Linked DNA regions of Sus scrofa. The protein of the gene in region 1 interacts with the protein of each later gene in a pairwise test. Links are inferred from orthologs where the notes say so. Each region holds a gene or a part of one and is shown on either strand. Other genes may lie near its edges.

The links.
Region 2: the proteins of THAP1 (region 1) and AKAP17A interact in binary tests that used the Homo sapiens proteins (3 or more experiments, as listed by UniProt). The two-hybrid records come from large-scale screens. The link is inferred for Sus scrofa from reciprocal best matches to the Homo sapiens genes THAP1 and AKAP17A.
Region 3: the proteins of THAP1 (region 1) and ACOT7 interact in binary tests that used the Homo sapiens proteins (3 or more experiments, as listed by UniProt). The two-hybrid records come from large-scale screens. The link is inferred for Sus scrofa from reciprocal best matches to the Homo sapiens genes THAP1 and ACOT7.
Region 4: the proteins of THAP1 (region 1) and ZCCHC10 interact in binary tests that used the Homo sapiens proteins (3 or more experiments, as listed by UniProt). The two-hybrid records come from large-scale screens. The link is inferred for Sus scrofa from reciprocal best matches to the Homo sapiens genes THAP1 and ZCCHC10.
Region 5: the proteins of THAP1 (region 1) and tripartite motif-containing protein 26 interact in binary tests that used the Homo sapiens proteins (3 or more experiments, as listed by UniProt). The two-hybrid records come from large-scale screens. The link is inferred for Sus scrofa from reciprocal best matches to the Homo sapiens genes THAP1 and TRIM26.
Region 6: the proteins of THAP1 (region 1) and GPATCH2L interact in binary tests that used the Homo sapiens proteins (3 or more experiments, as listed by UniProt). The two-hybrid records come from large-scale screens. The link is inferred for Sus scrofa from reciprocal best matches to the Homo sapiens genes THAP1 and GPATCH2L.

The regions. Positions count from the first base shown.
Region 1 is NC_010459.5:11,767,603-11,770,321, forward strand, and holds part of THAP1 (THAP domain-containing protein 1), read right to left. Parts: coding exon 2,692-2,719; intron 1,259-2,691; coding exon 884-1,258; 3' UTR 1-883. UniProt on the Homo sapiens protein: DNA-binding transcription regulator that regulates endothelial cell proliferation and G1/S cell-cycle progression.
Region 2 is NW_018084901.1:902,435-905,573, reverse strand, and holds the end of AKAP17A (A-kinase anchor protein 17A), read right to left. Parts: intron 2,365-3,139; coding exon 1,423-2,364; 3' UTR 501-1,422; downstream 1-500. UniProt on the Homo sapiens protein: Splice factor regulating alternative splice site selection for certain mRNA precursors. Mediates regulation of pre-mRNA splicing in a PKA-dependent manner.
Region 3 is NC_010448.4:67,251,298-67,255,394, reverse strand, and holds the start of ACOT7 (cytosolic acyl coenzyme A thioester hydrolase), read left to right. Parts: upstream 1-1,297; 5' UTR 1,298-1,299; coding exon 1,300-1,487; intron 1,488-2,031; exon of another isoform or gene 2,032-2,127; coding exon of another isoform or gene 2,128-2,264; intron 2,265-4,097. UniProt on the Homo sapiens protein: Catalyzes the hydrolysis of acyl-CoAs into free fatty acids and coenzyme A (CoASH), regulating their respective intracellular levels.
Region 4 is NC_010444.4:135,304,510-135,308,653, reverse strand, and holds the start of ZCCHC10 (zinc finger CCHC domain-containing protein 10), read right to left. Parts: upstream 2,801-4,144; 5' UTR 2,582-2,800; coding exon 2,541-2,581; intron 1-2,540.
Region 5 is NC_010449.5:22,797,397-22,800,896, forward strand, and holds part of tripartite motif-containing protein 26, read left to right. Parts: coding exon 1-18; intron 19-263; coding exon 264-494; intron 495-1,645; coding exon 1,646-1,668; intron 1,669-3,500.
Region 6 is NC_010449.5:99,324,311-99,328,381, reverse strand, and holds the start of GPATCH2L (G patch domain-containing protein 2-like), read right to left. Parts: upstream 2,801-4,071; 5' UTR 2,732-2,800; intron 1,189-2,731; exon of another isoform or gene 1,127-1,188; intron 626-1,126; 5' UTR 616-625; coding exon 1-615.

The DNA.
Region 1 (2,719 bases):
TAAGATTTCCAACTTAGGGTACAAGTCAAACTTGACGAACACAACTCATCTGTTACAGATGTGGATGCAGATGAGCCTACAGCTGGGGGCCTGCATGCCCCTCAGCTTGGAGCAATGACAGAAAAAGGCAGACCATGTACCGGGCCCCCACTTTCATGACTTCATTGATAATAATGCCTCCTTCGTTTACAGAAGAATCTCTCTCTCACTGGAGATACACTTCTAATTCTGTAACGCGGGACAGCAGGGAGAAAGAGATTAAAGAATCCATTCTTTAAAGTCATTTAACCATTTTGATTTCTCCTTTTCTGCTCTGAAGACAACCAACTTTTTTTTTAAGTATTGACTTTCCAATTTATCTTTGATAAGTGATTAAGAAAGATAAATGAATCATCTGTCTTTACAAATAAGAATCTGTGAATAAGAATATACATATGTATTCTGAGAAATTATGTCACATGCTTCTGATTTAGAACATAACTATGTTTTCTCAATAAAATGCATTAATTTACAATTTTAAACTTAAAACTTAAATCATCTTTACTGTGTTGTTTTCATTTTCTTAACTTTTTATTGTTATATCATTTCTATAAATACTCAAATTAAAAAACAAAAATCCTCAATCTTGAAACTAACTTACATTGAAGGTTTGAGGTTAGTTTAGAACTCTGAAAATAGTTTGTTAAAATGTAAAAACCCTGAAATTACAAACCAAAATTTTTACAATTTTACAGTATATATCTAATTTATTCTTTTAAAAAAATATTCTGAATTGTTTTTATACAAGTAATCAAGTGTAATTTCTTTCAAATGAAACTCCTCTACAGGCTAGAAGAGGGTATGTGGTATTGCCCCATTAAAACCCAATAACAAATTTCACTTTTCACGCTGGTACTTCAACTATTTCGAAATAGTCATTTGGTAGAATCACATAACCCCTCTCTGAGACGTCGTCTTTCTCCTTCTGAAAGTGTACAACCTCCTTTAACTTTTCCAGCTGTCGCTCCTGCCTCCTGCATCGCTGCTGCGCAGTCTTGAGTTTCTTTCGGAGTTTTTCAACTTGTTGCTCTAGCTGGTGAATCCTTTTCCTCTGGTGCATGGTGTCCTCCACAGTATAGTTGTGGTCACAGAACACAGAGAGATTATCCGGGGTCTGCAGAGGAGGCATGAGTAATCCGATAGCAGCGTCAACCTGGGAAATGGGGGGTGTTAGAGGAGGTGGGGGGAGCTGTTCCTGTGGCTCCAGAAGATCTTCCTTCTAAAACAAAGATGCAGAGCTTGTCAGAATTCCATAACTAAAATAACAGTTTAGGAGTTCCTGTTGTGGCTCAGCGGAAAAGCATCCTTCTAGTATCCATTAGGGTGTGGGTTCGATTCCTGCCCTCACTCAGTGGGTCGGGTATCTGGCATTGCTGTGAGCTGTGGTGTAGGTCGCAGATGTGGCTCAGATCCTGAGTTGCTGTGGCTGTGGCATATGTCAGCAGCTGTAGCTCCGATTTGACCCATGCCTGGGACCCTCCATATGCCACAGGTGTGGCCCTAAAAAATCAATTAAAATCACATAGAACATTTCCAGGATAGATCATATGCTTTCCTAAACGAGCTTGAAAGCCCTAAAAAGCAAAAAACAAAACAAAACAAAAAAACTCACAAAAAACCAGTTTAAAACAATTCACCTGTGGAATTTAAAAATACACTTTTTTGTTTCCTTGGTAGAGAAACATCCTAAAATAAGAAAATAGTTTAAGTCCTAATTATACTTTTCTATCTGAAGTAGAAATGGGATGCAAGAATGACAGCACTATTAATAACATTTAATTAAATACTAAGCACTTAAAAGTGAGGTAGGAGGGAGTTCCTTGGTGTTCGAGTAGTTAGACTCAGCATTTTCACTGCTGAGGCCTGGGTTCAATCCCTGGTCTGGGAACTGAGATCCCACATCAATCCACTGTACTCCATAGCCAAATCCAGAAAAGAAAAAAACAAGACAAAAAAACTTAGGGGGAAAATACTTTGAAACTGAACTATCACTGATAAAGAAAAATAAAATTTATCGACATTTAAGTAGGAATACAGAATGAGCTTATGTTAATGAAGCTACACCGAGCTTCTTTGTGTGAGGATATTTAACTCGAATAAACTGTACTGTGTATTTTTAAAAAGTATTTCACTTTTTAAAGTGAACAGTGGTTATTTACAAGGGATAGGTCCCAGCTAACATTTATTTTCTTTCTTTCTTTTTTTTTAGGCTGCACCAGGGATTGAACCCGAGCCACAGTAGTGACAACACAGGATCTTTAACCTGCTGCACCACCAGGGAACTCCACATTTATTTTCTTAACACTGCTCGAATTTTCAAAATTTTCACAATAAACATTACTTTTATAAACAGAAAACAACCTGATATTTTATTTTTATTACTTTTTTTTTTTTTTAGGGCATACCCGAGGCATATGGAAGTTTCCAGGCTAGAGGTCGAAATTGGAGCTGCAACTGAGACCTACGCCGCAGCCACAGCAACACCAGATCTGAGCCGCATCTGCCACCTACACTGCAGCTGGTGGCAATCCTGGATCGTTAACCCACTGAGTGAGGCCAGGAATTGAACCCACATCCTCGTGGATACTAGTCGGGTTCTTAAACCACTGAACTACAATGGGAACTCCCCCAATATTTTAAAACACATCTTACCTTGTCATGTGGTTCAGTACAAAGAAAT
Region 2 (3,139 bases), on another chromosome or scaffold:
GGGAAGGGAACCTTTTCAATTCCCTTTTTTTTTTTTTCCTTCTATGGCTGCCCGCAGCATAGAGTTCCCAGGTCGGGATCACTTCCCAGCGGGAGCTGTGACCTACGCGGCAGCTGTACCAACACCAGATCCTTAACCCACTGTGCCGGGCCGGGGGTCGAACCCGTGTCCTGGCACTACAGGTGCCCCCGATCCGCTTGTGCCACAGCCGGAACTCGTGACTACTCTTTTGAAATGGCACCAGCTTTAAAGACGGCTTCTGTGAACCCGTTAGATGTTCTTTCTCTGTAAACAAACCGCAGGCCGTGGTTGCCGACGGCCCTGGCTCTCTTCCCAGGGGGCTGTTTTTACAAAAGTCACAGCATGAGAAACGTCGCTTTAGAAATCAGTGTGCAAAGATTTCCATCCATTTCCAACCCGGAAATCAGGCCCAGCTTGATGACAGAGCCCAGGGAACTTAAACACCACCCAGAAACCACAGAAGCACGGGAAACGTCAGCTTATTGGAAAAAAGACTTTATTTCACCATAAAAAGGCAAGCTGGGATAAACAGCGTCCTCCCCACGTGGACCTTACAGCTAGTGTGAACTTCACCCGGAGAAGCAGACCTTGTAAAAGATAACAAGTTTGCAGCCTTACATCTGTTTGAAACGTTCCAAGTAAAAATAACTTAGCAAAACAGCTTCTTAAAAAACCACACAGGCTCACCTGGACTAGAAACCAAAGCTAACTGCCCCCACCTTCCTTTTCCACGGACTCGCTCGGGTGTGGAAAACGTGAACGTCTCCGACAGCAAGGAGCACTCGCGCGCCCGCCCGCCCGCGCCCCTGACCAGACCGCGAGGCAGAGCTGCCGCCTTGCAGGACTCGCGGCTTCCCGGCCCAGAGGTCACCACAGCGCTTCCGGCTCCCAGCAAACTTGGTGCCCAGCCCGCTCAAGTGACACACAAGGGAGAAAGGCAACCCCCAACAGGCGTCCTGGGCGGGGCTTCCTCCTTCGGGTGCCGTGTGGGGAGGCGGCCCCCACGCGGGCCCACGCGGCCGCGGTGATGGAGGGACCGTGAGCGCAGCCGCGGGAAGTCGGTACCAGGGGCGAGCGCAGAGGCGCGGGCTTTTCTGCGCTGCCCGCCCGCCGTGCCCGGTGGGTCTGCGGTCCGCACGGCGCCGGCCCGCGCCTCGTTCCTGATTCCGAGGACTGGCGACGTTAAAGCTATCGGAGTTTTAAGGGAAACTAAAGCTCGGGGCTGTCGACGCCTCTGACCGCGGCGGCGGCGGCGGGTCTGGAGGAAAGGAGCCTGGCCGCTGCCGGTCGCCCGGTGGCTCCCTGGGTGTGCTGGGTGGGGACGAGCAGAGCAGCAGCAGCTCGACGCCGCTCCCTGGGTCCCGGGCCTCCCGGAGGGCGGCGGCCTGGGCCCGCCCTGCATTACCTGTTCCAGGCGCTGCGGTGCTGGCTGGGGGACCCGGAGCGCGACCTCTCGGTGCGGCGGTGGCGGCTGCGCTTTCGGCTGGAGCTGCCCCTGCGGTCCCGGCTGCGCTCCCGCCGGCCGTGCCGGTCTCTGCTGTGGGACCTGCGCGAGCGGCCCCGCTCGGAGCTGGCGCTGCGCCGGTGCGGGCTGCCGTCCTGGTGCGAGCGCTTCTTGTGCGGCCGCCGCTCCTTCCGCGGCCGGCCGTCCTCCCGGCTGGCGGCGCGCCGCGTCCGGCTCCTGGCCCGCGCCTGCCGGTCGTCGCCGCTGCGCTCCGCGCTGGCCCGGCCCCGGCCGCCGCTGGGCTCGCGGTTGCACTTGTCCTGCTCGGAGCGGACGTCCTTCCGGGGCGCGCTCTGGTCGCAGGCGGCGGGCACCGCCCGAGGCTGCTGGCTGTTGTCGGGGATGCAGGCCAGGACGCCGGGGCACCTCTTCTCGGGAGGGCCGTCGTCGGGGGCCGCCAGGCGAGGATGCTGGCTCTCCGTGCCCAAGGCCTCCTCCACGACGCTCCCGTTCACGTTCTGGGGGCCACCTTCGGCCGCCGGCTGGGGCGGGGTCTCCCTGGGGGCGCCGGGCGCTGGGCCGGCGGGGGGCTGCAGTGCAGCGGCACCTGCGCCCACGCAGCCGGCCGACACCGTGTGCAGCATGGCCAGCACGGGCTGCAGCAGGGCCGCGCGCGAGACACCCGGCTCGTCGGGGCCGCGGGGGTCGTCGGCCTTCTTGCCCAGCAGGATGCTGAGCAGGCGCTGGCGCAGCTCCCGCTCCTTGCGCTGCAGCCCCAGGGCGCGCTCCTTCTCCTCCTCCACGCGCCGCAGCTCTGCCTCCTGCAGCCGCCGCCGTTCTTCCAGCTGCTGCAGCCGCTGCGTCTCCGCCTTCTGCTCCTGCTGCTGCAGCTTCAGCGCCTACAGACAGAGGGGACGCTGAGCGGGGCTTCTGAGCCCTCCGGGACGCCCACGCCGCAAGGGGAATGCAGGTCACTGTGGCTCTGATCACACCCTGCACCCACAGGGCCTGGGGGCGGCCTGGCTGGAGGCCCGCCGCCCACCGCGACCACACCCGAGGCCCGCGAGCCTCAGCGCAAGGAAACCCCTGGCAAAGTGAGCCGAACGGCCACCACGGGGCAGGCCTTTCAGACGGGCCGAGTCCCCGCAGGCCACACAGACAGCAGACGGGGCCTGCTGCCGGGGGCAAGGTCGCCGGGAAGGGAGCTGAGATCCCCTGCGGACGCAGGCGGCCCAGGCCTGCAGGGGCGGCGGGGCGCGGCCTGGCCGGTCTTCAATATTCACCATGAAACAAGAACGAGCTGCTGCATGTCTCAGCGCGCCCGCCACGCTCCTTCCCGGGGGCTGATCACAACTGGAATCACACAACAGGTTAGGGTCGTCCCGCGCCCACCTCCCGGGGCACGCGGCCGGCCTGAGCACCAGGAGTGCGGGGCCAGGTCCGTCCGCGCGCCCCCGGCCGGGCGCGCAGGAGTTACCGCTCGGGCCTTCGGGAGGAGCGGGTGGGAGGAACCAGGAGAGTGGTCCGCACAGCAGCGCTGAGACCTGCCCGGCTCGCGGCCGTGGAGGAAAGGCGCGCGCGGCCAGGCCCTGGCCTCCCGGGGCTAGCGCGGCCGCGGCCCCTGGACCAGGCTCAGCCTGTTCTCCCGCGGGGGTACCTGGCGGAGCCCTAGCT
Region 3 (4,097 bases), on another chromosome or scaffold:
TTGTTTTGTGTTTTTGGCCACTTTGCAGCACATGGAGTTCCCACACCAGCGATCAGATCCGAGCCAGTTTCAGCCAACATCACACCGGCAGCAATGCTAGAACCTTTAACCTGCTGTGCCAAGCCTGTGTCCTGGTGCTGCAGAGACAGCGCCCACCCCATTGCGCCCCAGCAGGAACTTGTCTGCCCCTCTCTGGCAGGGATCTGGCTGTTAATTCTGACCCAATCAGCCCATTCCCCAGTCTAGGACCCATGCTGAGTGGTGGTTACGCAGGCTTGCTGACCCTAGACACCTGCAGCGACTTAATTCGTGCTAGAAAATGACATTTTTAGTTTAATAATCTTGAAATGATAGACATGACCCGGTTTGCTCCCTCTGGTCCTGAGGCTTATAGATAAGTGGTGGGCTGCTGCTATGGTCTGGTAATACAGGTGTGACCAGGAGGAACTATTTAGTTTCGTATAAATAGGTCTTCAAATTGCACTGGAGAACTTGAGTTATGTGGGTTTTGATTTTCAAAAATCTGACTATAGAAGCAATTTATGTTCATTGCAAAACATTGGGGAAAAGTCATATGTAGTTTTATCGAGTAAAAGCGCTCTGAAATTACGACACAAAGATGTGTTCACCTTCCCCCTCTTTTTTGGGCGGATTTTGTGACCTCAACTTGGCCTGGACTCCCTTGCAGGGGATACAGTATGCAAAAGAACCTATTAGCATCTTTGGGGCTCTTCACTGCAGGTCAGGCACTCCCAGGACAATGCTCAGCGCTCTAGAAAAGTCTCCTTGGAATAACCCAGAGGTGCTTTGCAATTGCAGGCTGGGGCAGCAGAGGCCTGACGGCTTCTTGCTCCCCGTTTTGCGCACCCTAGCCTGGCCAGGAAGGCTCCTTTACGAGAAAACCGCCTCCAGTTTCCTCTCGAAGTTGATCTGAGAAAGCGCGACCAGGCCACCGCCTCCCGCAGGCCTCTCCGCCCACGCAGGCATCTGGGTCTCAGGTGCGGCCTCGTCGCCTCCTGGGCGCGCCCCAGGCCCGCGGATGGGGTAACGACGCGAACAAACACGCGCAGGGCGAGGCTGACCCTGGTGGCTGCCCAGCCCCGCGCCCGTGCCTCTCAACGGCCGCCGAACCTTCTGGAAGCGGCGCCCCGCCGCGGCCCCACAGCCGCCGCCAGAACCGGACGCCCAGGGAGCCGACGCGGGCCGGGGGGCGGGGCGGAGGCGAGCGCGCGGGGCGGGCCTTCGCAGGAGTCTGTGTTCGATTCGCGGTCGGCGCGCAGGCCCCGCCTCCCTGGCACCATGGCCCCGCCTCTCCCCTCCCCCTCCATGGCGCCACCCGGGCTCATTCATTTCGCCCCGGGCCTGCCAGACACCTGCGTTCTCCCTCGGCCGCCCGCCTCCGCTGCTGCCGCTGCCGCCGCCGCCGCCGCCGCAGCCAGCATGTCGGGCCCCACCGCGGATACCCCGTCCGCCATCCAGATCTGCCGGTAAGCGTGGCGTGCGGCGGCAGGCGGCCAGGATTCCGAGTCGCCGCCCGGGCCTGGCCGACCCTGTGCGCCCTCCCCTCCTCAGTCCCCGCCCCCGCCGGGCCGGTTACCTCCGGACTCCGCCCGCCCGCCGCGGCTGGGATGCGCCTCCGGCGCCGCAGAGCCGGCAGCCTCACCGCGTCTCTCTGCCGGCCTCCGGCGCATCTCCGGTCACGCAGGCCGTTTGCATGAGGAAGCGGTGCGGAGCCCTTCCCCTGGGCGGGGGTCGGAGCGCATCCCCCCTCTGCCCAGCCCAGCCCAGCCCTGCCCCGCCCGGTGCCCGAACGCGCCGAAGCCCCAGCCCAGGTCCCAGTGAGCCCCCTAATTCGAGGTCGTGATCCGGGCGGTGGTGCAAAGCCAACCGGATATCCCGACCTGTGCGGCGCAAGTAACCCGCTGGCTGGGCGGCGGCCGGAGCCCATCGGTGGGCGCCCGAGTGGGCGGGGGCTGCAGATATGCAGTCCCTCCTGTCCGCTGCCACGGTTTGGGGCGGGGCGGGGGGAGCAGGCTGTTAACAGCAAGAACAGGAAATGCCCTTCCTCTGTAACACTGCACTGCTAGGAGGGGAGGATGGTCGTTGAGCCCGGAAGCATCTTACACAATGGGGGCAAAGGCTTGTTCTTGTTGGGGGACCAGCCCTGCCTTTCTCCACCGGCACCGGCAGATCGAGGGCCTGGAGGACGCGCGGGAGATCGCGAGCCGGCTCATTTCCGACAGGAGCGGGAGGGCAGCCTCAAGGTTACTCTCCATTCCCTGGGACCGAGTGGAAGCAGGCACGGTGGCATTTGAGCTAAGGAGGGGCGAGGAAGCTAGGAAGGCCGAATGGTGGCTGGGGCCTGCCACGGGGCCTGTGCTGCTTGATGCCTCGGCGGAGAGTGACAGCGGCTTCCTGTTTGAGGGCCAGTCCTTCAGATTTGGAGATTGGGCATCACACTGACCTTGGGTCCAAGCCAGATTAGTTTCCTGTGAATGCCGGCATCTCTTTAGAAGAGGCAAAGGCTGGGCATACACTATGGTATCAAGGGGGTGCCCTGAATCCTGACCTCAAGGGCAGTTTTGATCTTTCTAGGGAGAGGAATTCTCTGGGGAGGGGGGGGTCTTTCACCACTGATTTGTTATTGGCTGTCTTGGCCCCACCCACTCCAAGTTCCAGGGGCAAAAATAATAGAAGTGGCTGATCCTGGGAGACAGAAGGGCCTGGAGTCTAGGCCTAAGATCCGTCTCTGCTGCGTATTGGCCAGGTGAACTTGGAGTTCATCTTTGCAAAGGGTTTTAACATCTCTCATGTTGCTCGGTTTGCCCAGCATCCCTGGGGAGGGAGGATGGCAGGAATCTCACCACTCTTGCTGTGGAAGAGGAGACAGGTCCTGGGAGACGCACTGCCTCCATAAGGTCATCCAGCCACAGGAGCGGGAGGGGCGGCTGCTGATAGGTCCTCTCTCTCCGGAGCTGCGTTTTTTGCACTGTGCTCTCCCCCAAATGGAATACTGATTTCAGGGTACTCAGAAAGGCTTATTACTTCCTCAGGGTGATGACTAGCCAGTCCATATATGTGACCGTTTTAAAAATCAGCTTCCAACCTTACTAGACACACTTCCGCGTGTGTGCCCATGCTTCTTTTTGCTTCTTAGCCGTGGTACTTGCCTATCTCTCAGATACTCACAATGGCATATTGTCTCTGAATGGGGACACATGGACAGGGCACCTGGCTGAGGTCGGCCTCAGGTGCCCAACACAACTGCCAGAGGGCCTGCAGTCACCAGGGCTTGGCCTAGAGAAATCTCAGGACATGGGAGAGTGGATGTACCAGCATGGGAAGCTCTTTAAGGCCATCTGAGCCAATGGCCCATGTTGAAAGAGGAGCCTCCTGGCTTGGGGCAGCCAAGCCTATGAATTTAACAAGCTTCGCTGGAAGCCTCTAGGGCTGAAGTGCCAGGAGGGCCAACTCCAACGTGGAAGATTTGGTCCCCAGCTTAGGGGCTTCACAGTCTAGCGGGGAGAGGATGCCAGAACCCCTCACGTGGCATCCTCGTCTGTTAAGAGTGTCACGTGACCTCGGTTTGACGGTGTCGAAGGGATGGGCTTTCGAGGCTGGGGAGGGCAGTGGTTAGAGCCAGCTTGGGTGTGAATTTGGCCTCTGCCCCTTGGAAGCTGTCGACCTTCCTGGGCCCCACCCATTTTATCATGGGCTCTTCTGAGCGCTAAAGAAAGTATGTCTGGTGCCAGGCAGAGTGTCTGGCACCTTGTAAGTAAAGGGAAGCTCTTTTTGTCCGAAAAGTGGGACACAGGCTTAGGAAGCCAGGAGCCTACTTTCGAATCCCAGGGCTGCCCCTTGCAGGTGTGGGCTTTAGGCTGGATTCTTAAGCTTGCAGGGCCTCCGTCTCCTTGTCTGTGAAGTGGAGAAAATAACAGCGGCTGTTTCAGGGTGGCTCTGAGCATGAAAACCTCTGGCACAGTGCTGGGCAGTTGTTAACAGAAGGAACAGTTTACCCTGCAGAGCCCGACCTTTGGACAGCCAGGCCACTGCAGTGGGCCGTCCCGCTCGTCTTTGGAGCTAGCCCTGAAGATGCG
Region 4 (4,144 bases), on another chromosome or scaffold:
TTTCACTTCTACTCTTCTCATTCTGCATATAATTGTGTTTAAGTCTGATTCAAAGTTAGGTTCCTGAAAGATGTTCTGAATGGGAAGTTCAAAATTTCCTCTTTTCCTCCAAAGACTTTTAAAAAAAGAATGTCAATAGTACTTTCTCGTATATAACCTGTAGTTTAAAAGTGTTCTTATGAAAGTGATATATGCTCTTTATAAATAAAATTAAATCTTTTTTTTTTCACTGCTCCTGTAGCATGTGGAAGTTCCTGGGCAAGGGACTGAACACATGCCACAGCCATGACCCAAGCACAGCAGTGACAATGCTGGATCCTTAACCTCCTAGGCCACCAGGGAACTTACAAAGTTAAATCTTTTTGATAAATATAAAATGCAAAGTAAATGCTCCTATTCTGCCTTCCCCTCACCCCCAAAAATACTGGACTGCCCTTGCCTCTAAAGGGTCTCCCTCTCTGACTACTTGGGGACTCCTGACAGTCTGTAAACCATGACATGTTTTATTACACACCATGTTTGCTTCCCAGTAAGACCAAAACCTCCTAAAGCTGAGTTGTCTTTTACTTCGGTGAAGCTCATGTACTACATAAAGACACACTGCAAAAATGGAACATTTGTTTAATTCTGTGATACTTCCAAAACGTATGCTAAAAGTACTAGAAGTCTTACTTTCACTTCATATTTACAGTGGATATTGGTTGGTTTTGTCACTCTAGCAATCATTACCTCCTCTGACCAAACTACCACCACCACTGAGCTCTTCTTTGGCTTATAAAGATCCGTTCAATTATGCTAGGAAAAAAAATGATATCCAAATCAATCATAGCTTCATAATCCCATAGACCTGGTTCAGGGAAGGGCATAGAACCCAACCTAGACAGTGAGATGCTATCAACTTGAAGCTGAGAGGACATAAAGGACCCTAAATACAACAGCCTCTTAGGACCAAAGGAGTGAATCTATCCAAGTATGGAACCAACACACAAAAGAACAAACCTGAGAGTGAGAGATTAGACCCTGGTGACATTATTAGGCACACACCTATTAAGTACTGTCACTCCATTCTTAATCTCAGAACCATTTGACTTCAAAGTGCCCTTCCTCCAGCCAGCATACTACTTACTCTGATTCCCTAAGTCTTTATCCTTACGCTCAAGGGACTCTTTTCATGGGGCATGAGAGGAAGAGTCTGAAGAAAGGGAGACGTGGATGATCAGAGTTCTTAAAATAAAAAAATATAAATATAAAAAGAAATATAAACATACATTCGAGCAGACTGTGGGCAATAAATGAGAAAATGGTGAGGGCAAAAATGGCTGAGAGTGAAAAAGCGGCAGACAGTTAAGTGTGCAGGTTAGAAGAAGAAAAAAAGACTACAAGAAAGGGGCATCTGGGGAGTTCTCTTGTGGCACAGCGGGTTTAGGAAGCATTGTCACTGCAGTGGCCCAGATGGCTACTGTGGGCTCAGGTTCCATCCCTGGTCCTCGAACTTCCACATGCCTCAGACATGGCCAAAAAAAAAAAAACACGTTGGGGGGCATCCGGCATGAACTCCCTCATTATCTCCTCACTGCAAACCTCTTGTTGCGCGCCCTTTCACTAGCTCATTAGCTACAACTGGCCATCTTTCGGTTCTTAAAAACGAAGTTCTTTCCTGTCTCAAGGTATCTACTCCAGTCTAGATGCTCTTTCCTTTAGTCCTCTCAGGACTGGCTCCTTTCTCACACTTCAGATCTCTTCCAATGCCACAGAAACATTTCTTCAGAAAAGTCTTTCCTGGCCAACCAACCAAACGTGGATCTTTCTCTTTCCATCACCTCTTATTTCCTCTTCAAAGCTCTTATCAACTGTATTTACGTAAAATGTTTAGTTTATCGACTCCACCAACAGAATGTAAGCTTTCTGAAAGCAGAGGTTTTGCCTTGAACACTTCTTTTTCCTCATACCCCAAACTTGACATAGAATGATAGGCAATGCTTATTAAATTCTGCTGAAGAGAATGAACGGCAGAAAGTGAGAAGATAGTTCGGGAAAAAGTCGGCGTCGTAGTCAGCTGTTTCTAGGGAAGGTAACAGGAAGGGAGCAGGTAAAGCCAGATGGGCTGGAGGCCCTCACAGGAAGCGGAAGGTTTACGTCGGCGAGAAAAGGGGGTGTTGGATGAGGGCTGCAAGCTTCTCCCTGTCACGCGTGGGGTGGGCGGCTAACTTGTCAAAGGGGCATCAATCGCTTAGTGACCAACTCCGGGGCGTCCCGTAACCGGGAGCCAAACGCTAAACTCTCTTCAGACACCCCTAGGTCCCGCCTAGCGGTCCTACTCAGCCGTCGTCCACGAAATCGCTAGTCCACCGGACATCAAACTTAACGCCCGGGCCCCAGCCCCTTGCGGGGAGGCAACGTATGAGAAAAACGGCACCTTCGGCCGAGTCACAAAGAGGATCTGACACTGGCCCAGCATCCCGGCGCCCGCTCACCAGCTGGCTGACGCGCTTCTCCCCGCCCCCAGCCCGCCCCGCGGCCCGACTCCGGCCCTCACTTACGCTTGTCTCCGGGCTATGAGCCGATGCATGGGAGTCGCCATCTTAGCGCAGCTGACGCCCGCCGCGCAGGATTTTGGGAAGTTCCTCCAAGGGGGCGGGGCCTTCGAACCCTGGAGGCTGTCGGCGTGGGCGGAGCTAGTCCCGCCTGGCGAGTCGCGGGGGCAGCTTCTGGGGCAAGTAGGGGGTTGGGCCTGTGTCGGGCCCTTGTTTGAGGAAGAGGAGTGAGGTCGGTTGTCTCTTCTGAACAAGGCTTTTGAAGGGTGGGGTCATGTAATTGCTAGGAGAGACAGGGAAGAACATTCTCCAATGAGGTGTTGATCTGTTCCTTCCCTTTTCTTTTTTCACCTGTGGAATATGGAAGTTCCGAGGCTAGGAGGTCAAATCCTGGCTGCAGCTGCCGGCCTACGACACCGCAACTGGGAACCCAAGCCACGTCTGGAACCTATACCGCACCTCACATGGCAGCGTAGGATCCTTAACCCACTGATGGAGGCTAGGGCTCGAACCCGTGTCCTCTTGGATACTAGTCAGTTTCAGTTATTGCTTAGCCAGGGGGAACTCCTGGTCATCTTTATACACAAATGAATTTTTATATATAAATGAATGAAACTGCAGTGTTGAAGAAACTAGAAGTTGTCTGGAGAGCAAAGTGAAAAACAATGAGTTAAACAAGAGTAAGACCATCAGATGAGGAGTTCCCGTCAGTGGCTCAGCGGGTTATGAAACCAACTAGTATCCATGAGGATGCTGGGTTCAATCCCTGACCTTGTTCAGTGGGTTAAGGATCCTGTGTTGCCTCTGCTGCGGTGTAGATCAAAGATGTGGTTCAGATCCAGTGTGGCTGTGGCGTGGGCTGGCAGCTGCAGTTTGCATTCAACCCCCAGCTGGGGAACTTATATATGCCGCAGGTGCGGCTTTAACAAAACAAAACAAAACAAAAAAACCGTCCATTGAAAAATGCTGACCTTATCAAACCATCAAGTGCAATATATGTTAATTACTTACATTTTTATGTATATCATAGTGATGTTATAAGGGTATAGGTAAATTTGATTTGTCAACTGGAAAGAGTAACAAATATTAATTATTTAAGGATATTTTAGCATTTAATGACAGATCATGGAGGTTTAGTCTCCTAAATCCATTTTGTACAAATTTTTTTTTCTTTTGTCTTTTTGCCTATTTCTTGGGCCGCTCCCTTGGCATATGGAGGTTCCCAGGCTAAGGGTCCAATCGGAGCTGTAGCCGCTGGCCTATGCCAGAGCCACAGCAACGTGGGATCCAAGCTTCATCTGCAACCTACACCACAGCTCACAGCAACGCCGGATCCTTAACTCACTGAACGAGATCAGGGATCGAATCCGCAACCTCATGGTTCCTAGTCGGATTCATTAACCGCTGAGCCACGACGGGAACTCCGATTTTGTACCAATTTAATTCATTTAGACATTCTGTTTTCTTCCAAAGATCTGCTTGTGCCAGTATTTGTATGGCTTTGATTTCCATAGTTTATTTTTAGACTATTTTGATGTCTGGTAGGTCAAGTCTCTCCTAAATAATTCTAGTTCTCCTCAATTCTCTTTATTGCTCTTAAACATTCATTT
Region 5 (3,500 bases), on another chromosome or scaffold:
GAGATTCAGGCCCTGCTGGTAAGAGAAGTCTCAAGTGAATTTTCTATGTACACGGGGGTGGGGGGGGTGAGGGGGTGGGGGGGGAGTGTGTGTATGGGCTGGGACTCGGGGCGGTGGGGGGGGCTGCGCAGGGATATTGAAGGATGGGGAGAGGGAAGGTGTGATGGATGGGATCCTTGTTCTGAATTCATCCCCAGATCTCACAAATGTTCTGGTGTTTCCTAGCCTGTCAGAAGAAATCATCTTTCTCTTTCTGCCTTTAGGCAAAATTCCAGAACCACAAGCAAGACATAGCATCCGTGTTTGAGCAAGGCCATCGGTTCCTGAGAGAAAGGGAGCAGTACCTGTTGGAGTGTCTGGAGGGGATGGAGCAAGAGCTCACTGAAGGGAGGAACAGCCATGTCACCAAGGGCTCCGAGGAGGTCGTCCGGCTTGGGACCCTGATTACTGAGTTAGAGAATAAGGCTCGGCAGCCAGCACTTGAACTTCTGCAGGTGAGGGACCAACTAAATGGTGCCTGAGTCCTCTGGCTCCAGGCTACAGTGTGGCCCCTCCATTAGCATGAGATAGGGACAAGGAGTCAGGAGAGACAAGGTTTTATTTTCATGTATTGAATTCCTTGATAAGTTAATCAGTAAACCAATAGGCTTTAAGTCCCAAATTGCAATGGGCCAGGGATTGTAATATGCACAGATCACACAATGAAGTAGAAGGAGCTATACATTTATAATCACGAGAAATAACTGAGTGTTAAATCTTGCGTTCAGACTGAAACCACAGGAACTCCGGAAAAGGCTAGGGTTTAATCAGGGAAGCTTTCACAAAATTAGCGGCCCGTAAGGGTAGCCTTGAAGAAAATGTAAAGATTTGAATTAGCAAGAAGGAGGAATTGAACATTCTCTTTGGTGGAGGTGCATTGGTTAAAATGAAGTAAATGAATGTGATAATAAGCTTAACGAGTATGATAGTAAAAAGATGGGTGAAGGTGCTGAGGAAGATGGTTTGGAAGACGTGAAGGTGACATAGAGTGAAAGGGGCTACCTTTCTGGAGGCGTCAGCCTAAGTGAGGAAGACGTTTAAGGGAAGATGAGGTAGGGAAGATGAGGCCAGCCGAGTAGAGGCCTCCCAAGCCAGGCTGAGACTTCAGTCTTATCTTGATAGACAATAAGATTCTTAACAGATTAAGGAAGGCCCCTGGGAGTTCCCAATGTGGTACAATGGGTTAAGAATCCCACTGCAGTTCCTTGGGTTGCTTCGGAGGTACGGGTTTGATCCCCAGCCTGGCACCGTGGGTTAAAGGATTTGGCATTGCCACAGCTGCAGCATAGGTCATAGCCGTGGCTTGGATTCACTCTCTGGCCTGAGAACTTCCATATGCTGTGAGTGCAGCCATTAAAAAAGAAAGAAGAAGAAAAGAAAAGGAAGGGTCCTGGAGGGACTAGTCTAGAACTCAAATGGAGAAAAAGAAGGGGAAACATATGCCCTCATAAATGGATATTACAGAGGAGCACAGAATAGGACTAGGCCCTGTACAGAATAATTCTCTGTATGGTCTCCCCTGTTCCCCAACAAGCCCATTGTAGGGAATGGTGTTGGCTCCTGGGAACCTTGTTTCTATGACAATCTGTGTTCTCTTCCTTTCCAGGACCCAAGTGACATAATAAACAGGTAGGTGTTGCCTTTTTTTTTTTTTTTTAATCACTTAGGTGTCCCTTTGTTTTTTCTTTCTGTCACCTTTTTGAAATTTGGCAAGGGTGGGAAAGGGATTCTTGGGAGGAAGAGAGGTTCTTTTAGAATGGATAAGTTGAAAGATATTCCATGGAATGGGGGAAGGAGTTCTGGAAAATTATTGTCATGGAATTTAGGATGGTAATAGGATAGGGAGAAGGGAAATGGGAAGAGATTATGGGAGGGTATTAGAGAAAATTTAGCATATGTGTTTGTTTATCAAACTCAATTTCTTTTTGTTCTTTCTATTCCTACTTGGTTCCCTGCCGCCTCTCCTGGCACAGCTTCCCTCATATGCTGTACAGCATGTTTCATCATTGCATTGTCCTCCATGCTCCGTAGTGATGGTTTCCTGCTCTCTGCCTGACCATAAGAAGTGGACTCTCGGAGTTCACGTTGTGGCGCAGCGGAAACAAAGCCGACTAGGAACCATGAGGTTGCAGGTTCGATCCCTGGCCTCGATCAGTGGCTTTAGGATCCGGCGTTGCTGTGAGCTGTGGTGTAGGTTGCAGACATGGCTTGAATCTGGTGTTGCTGTGGCTCTGATGTAGGCCAGCAGCTATAGCTCTGATTAGACCCCTCGCCTGGGAACCGCCATATGCTGCGGATACAGTCCTAAAAAGACAAAAGACAAAAAAAAAAAAAAAAAGAAGTGGACTCTCATATGGGTCATAGGGATAATGGTTTCTGTGATAGTTTGACAGGAATTATACCTGCCTAATATCAGAAGCTTTGAACAGAGATACAAGGCAGGTATGTTACTAAAAACACAGTTCATCCTGGAGACATCCAGGATTATTAGCCTATACTTAACATTTACTGTGGAGCAGGAGCAGTTACTGGGTAGAAAGGAGGGTGATGAGACTCTGGCTGGGGAGACTAGACAGAGACAATTACAGATGAGTAGTTATTCAGTTAAGGAGAGTGATGCCGAATGGGTGGTACTTCTTGCCCCAGAGTAATGTGTCTAATGTTAGTAAAATTATTCTAGTGTTTTTTTTGATTAGTGTCTGCATGCTATTTAACTTTTTACCCTTTAACTCTCAACCTTTCTGTGTTCTGCTGTGTTTTTGTTTTCTTTCTTTCTTTCTTTCTTTTTGCATTGGTTTGGTGGTTTTTCTTTTTTTTTTTTTTTCTTAGGGCCACATCCAAGACATATGGAGGTTCCCAGGCTAGGGGTCGAATCAAAGCTACAGCTGCCGGCCTACACCACAGCCACAGCAACTCCAGATCCGAGCCACCTCTGCGACCTACACCACAGCTCACGGCAATGCTGGATCCTTAACCCACTGGGTGAGGCCAGGGATTGAACCCACAACCTCATGGTTCCTAGTCAGATTTATTTCCGCTGAACCACAACAGGAAGTCCGGGGCAGTTTTTTGTTGTTGTTGTTGTTTTGTTTTGTTTTGTTGTCTTTTGTCTTTTTAGGGCCATAAATTTTTGTTTTCTTTTTAAATAAATTCATTCTGACACTTTTAAATTGGAATGTTTACTATTTATAGTGCCTGGAAAATCACCATTTTCACTTATATTTTTAAAAGTATTTGCATGGTTTGCCTAATAATGTCCTTAAATTTAATTTCTTTGTATCTGAATATATTTGTTTGTTTTGTGTATTTCTACTTTTGACTCCTCTACTTGCCTCTCTCTTCTTTTTTTCTATTTTAAATATTTTTTTTTGTTTTTGTATGTATATGAGCCCTGCTTTTGTCATATGCCATAATTTCTATGATATTTTCATTGTTTTCTAGATATTTTGTTTTGTTTGCTT
Region 6 (4,071 bases), on another chromosome or scaffold:
ACACTCCATCCTTTCCTTTCTTCCTGTTTTGCTTAGGAAAGTCCTCGTTTCTCCTGATTCACACAACCCATGACCTGAGGAGGTCCAAGGAGTATTCTCTTTCCAGCGGGACAGACGCTGCTTCTTAGCAGACTTGAACCTGCAGCCTCTCTCGTAGCTCCAATCTGACACCTTGAGTTTCTGCTGAAGGCTGGCAGCCACCTCTGATGTCACTCGCTTCACCTTGCGACGGCGTCTGAGCGGTCGACAAGGTGCATTTTCAGTAAAGGAGTCAGACTCATGCCAAGAATGTTGCTTACTCTTAACAATGGCGTTGAGAGCTGGATGCCTTTTGGCTACCATCGTGTCATCAGAGTCACTAAAATTGGTGACTGGGGCCATTTCTCGACAGTCCTTAATGGCTTCATCCAGACTTGACTCAGAGGCCTCACTGTAGCAGCAGGTATGCTCTGCCAGGTGAGTGAAGTCTGAACGGCGCTTCCGGCCTCTCCGTTTGCGAAGCTGCCGCCTCTGCTGCCGAGGGCTCAGGGCCATCTCCTCCCACAGCTCGCCGAGCTTATTCTGCTCAGATGTCTGCTCCAAGGCTGAGGCTAAGTCATGTACCAGCTCATCCATGAGGCCACATCTGCCAAATGGAAATTCGCCAAAAAAAAAAAAAAAGAAAGAAAGAAGAAAAAGAAAGACTCAGGATCTGTTGTTTTTGAATAATTTTAAAAAATTGATCATGGAACTGCAGAGTGCACCCTATCTATAGCAAATAAAGTCACTTTTTACCTGGCTACACTTAGACTCTATTCCTACCATCCATACTCCCTTAAACCACTAAACATAGGTGTCTGGCACTTGTTAAATTCCTGAGGTCAACATATTCTTAAGCACCAGATGACAACTGGGTTGTTAGTAACAACAAGCAAACTCAGTGAAATAAACCCTTCCCATTTTCCCCCAATTAAACTTGCTAAAGTAAATTACCTGATGATGAGATCTAAAAAGATGAGAAAATGTCTCATGAGATAGGAGCGGAAAAACACTCAACTTCAAAACCAGGATGAAAGACTGTTCTATGGTCTGGGGTCACTAATAAGAGTGCTTGTGGCAGGAACAGAAAGACAACTTAGTGACATACTTTCTGGAAGACTGCTTGCAGTTTTAGTGATCCAAGAATTTATAGTGACCCAGGCTTGTTCTCTGCATGGAAAAAAAAAAAAATCGGCACCCATTCTGGTCCCAACTACCACCCAGAAGCTACCAAGTAAAGAGCCTTATAGAGTACATGAATAATTAGAATCTTTTAAGTTCTCCTCATCCTTCAGAAAAATAAATTGAATGATCAACCAAATTCTGTGCTTAGGGCCAGATAATCACAGGATATAACTGAGGCTGAAATGACAAGTATGAGTGGAGTCTACAATGTCCAGCTAACAGCTTTCCAAAACTTCCTATTTTTCAACTTATTCTTGTCAAACCATCATACTTCAGGGATCACTTCACAGGCAAACCTTCCAGATCCTGAGAGGAGGAGGAGTGATTTTCAATATGCCCTCTTAAAAGGAAATGTCTAATATATTTCATACATCTAATTAAATACATTTTAAATTAGCTCTTTTTCCTTAGCCCTTAAGTCCAATGTATTTCAAGATCATAATTTGAGTTTAAAACTCTGTGGCACCACTCTCAGACCGTATTTACCTTTCAACGGTTTACATTTTGCAAAGGACTTCCTAAAAATCTATTTTCATGCCAACCAATTCAAAGGCAGAAGGAGCAATAAGGGCACCTAGCTCCAAAACCACCAACCAAACGAAACTTCTCAGTGTAAAAAGCCACACTCATAAAATGACCAAGTCTCTTTAAGCAATAAGTAGTTTAAATCTCCATGACTGGGGTTTGGCGAACAACTGTCCCTAAAACCAAGCTATATAAGTGGGGGCGCACTTATCTAAATCTATTTCCCTGAAAAGAACTACTGCTTTAAAAACCACAGGCAGAAGTGTACAAACTTCAACTTGGAACTAAGTTACCGAACAACTTGCCAATCAAATGCCTGTGCAGGAGAATGCTTGCCTCAAAGGCTGCAATTAGAGCAGTAACAGAAGAACCCTGGAACTCCCAGCCCTCCCTGGATGCACAGTCCGATAAGACCCCCGAGACAGGCAAGCAGAAAAGGCTGTTTTCTCCGCCGCAAAGGAAGGATCTCGAAACTAGTAGAAGTAAAATGAGAGGCCGGGCCAGGGTCGGAGAGGGAGACGGGATTGGGGGAGGGAGCGTAGGAGGCAACTTCTCTTTTGGACTGACCCGGGTCAGGGGGTCAGCCCTTCTAGGGCAGAAACTGACAAAATGCAAATCCTGACGACTAGGGTCCCTCGGGGCTCAGGGGTCGCAACATGGCCACGTACGTGAGAAAAAGCGTGTTTCGAAGGACTACCCCCCACGCCCTGGCCCGCTCCCAAGGACGAGGGGGACTGCAGCTCGGGGCAACAAACCCTTTCGCTGTCGCCAGCCCCAAAGGGCCAGAAAGCAAAGAAGAGAGAAGGTGACTGTCGCCCCGGAGATGGCCCGACCTTCATCTCCCGAGATGGGCCCTGAAAAACAAGGCTCCGTCACCCTCGCCCCTCCCGCCGGCCTCCGCGGCTCCGCGGCGCCTCTGGACACTCAGCAGCGGCCCTGAGCCGGGATCCTCGCTGGCCCCGGCCTCCTGGGCCCCGACCCCCACACCTCCCCTCCCCCTCACCGGTTGCCGCAGCCACCTCCAACGGCCGCCGCTTTTGGGGCCGAGTCTCCCCGCCGGGGCTTCCCTCTCTGACCTCATTTCCGGTCTGGGCCGGAGGGGTGGGACGGGGGTAGAATGGGAGGGGCTGTCTGCGCGAGAGGGCCCGCCCCTGTCGAGCGTTTCCTGCCCGCGGCCGCGCCCACTTCCGCCCCACGAGGGTGGGGGTGGGGCAAGGAACCCGGAAGAAAGGCAAGGCGCAAGGAGGGGAGGCGGTCAGGGGGCAGGCAATTCATGGGGTGCCTATGGGGTGGAGGTGACGGTCTTGGGGAAGGGCCTACCCTGGCAGGCTTCATCTACCTTGAGGGCGTCAGGAAATTGGACGCTGGAGAGAGGTATCGGCCTCGCCCTTGCTCGCCTATCTACTTTATAAAAGGTGCCTGAAGTTAGGGAACCCTTCGGGTTGTATCCCCTTTGGCGGGGTAGCGTTATAGTGAGTTACTCAGACTACTAAAAACACACTTGCCTTGAGTAACAAAGCGAGTAAAATAGTCTTGGATTATAACTTGAAATATAAAAGTAATATCCATAGGCCAAACTGATATGTCAATTATTGATACAAATAAATTTATAAATGGGTAAGAAGAGATAAATATCTGGTGCAGAATTCCGAGAAATTTATATAGATACTCCTCCAGGCATGCATAATTCACGATTCTAAATGTGGACTCTGCAATGACTTCCTTCCGATGAGTACAATATGGAAAGGGGAGAGGGGAGTAACTTTATAGTGGAGAAACTAGATAAGCACTACTTCAGCTGGGTGATCAAGGTTCACATAAACAGTGATAAAACATGTCGATAGTATGTGGACTAGATCCCATATGAAGGAGAATGGCATTTTATCTCTACCGTACTTTCCTTCCACAGGTCACAACCCCAATCAAATCATAAAGGGAGAAATGGACAACTCCCAAGTAAGGGACCGTCTACAAAATGTCTAACCAGCATTTCTCATAATTGTCAAAATTTTCAAAGATAAGGAAAGTCTCAGAAACTGTCACAGCCAAGAGGAGTCTAAAGAGACATGACAACTAAATGTAATGAGATATCCTGATGGGATAACTGGAATAGAAAAAGGACATTAATAAAAATAAAGAAATCTGGACTTTTGTTAATGTTATCTCAACATTGGATCATTGGAACTGTGACAAATGTGCTATACTAATGTGAGATGTTAATAATAGAGGAAACAGTGTGGAGTATACAGGAACTGCCTATAGTGCCTTCAAAATATTTCTGTAAACCAAAAATTATTCTGAAATAAAAAGTTTTATTTTTAAATATGCACATGCCATTTGACC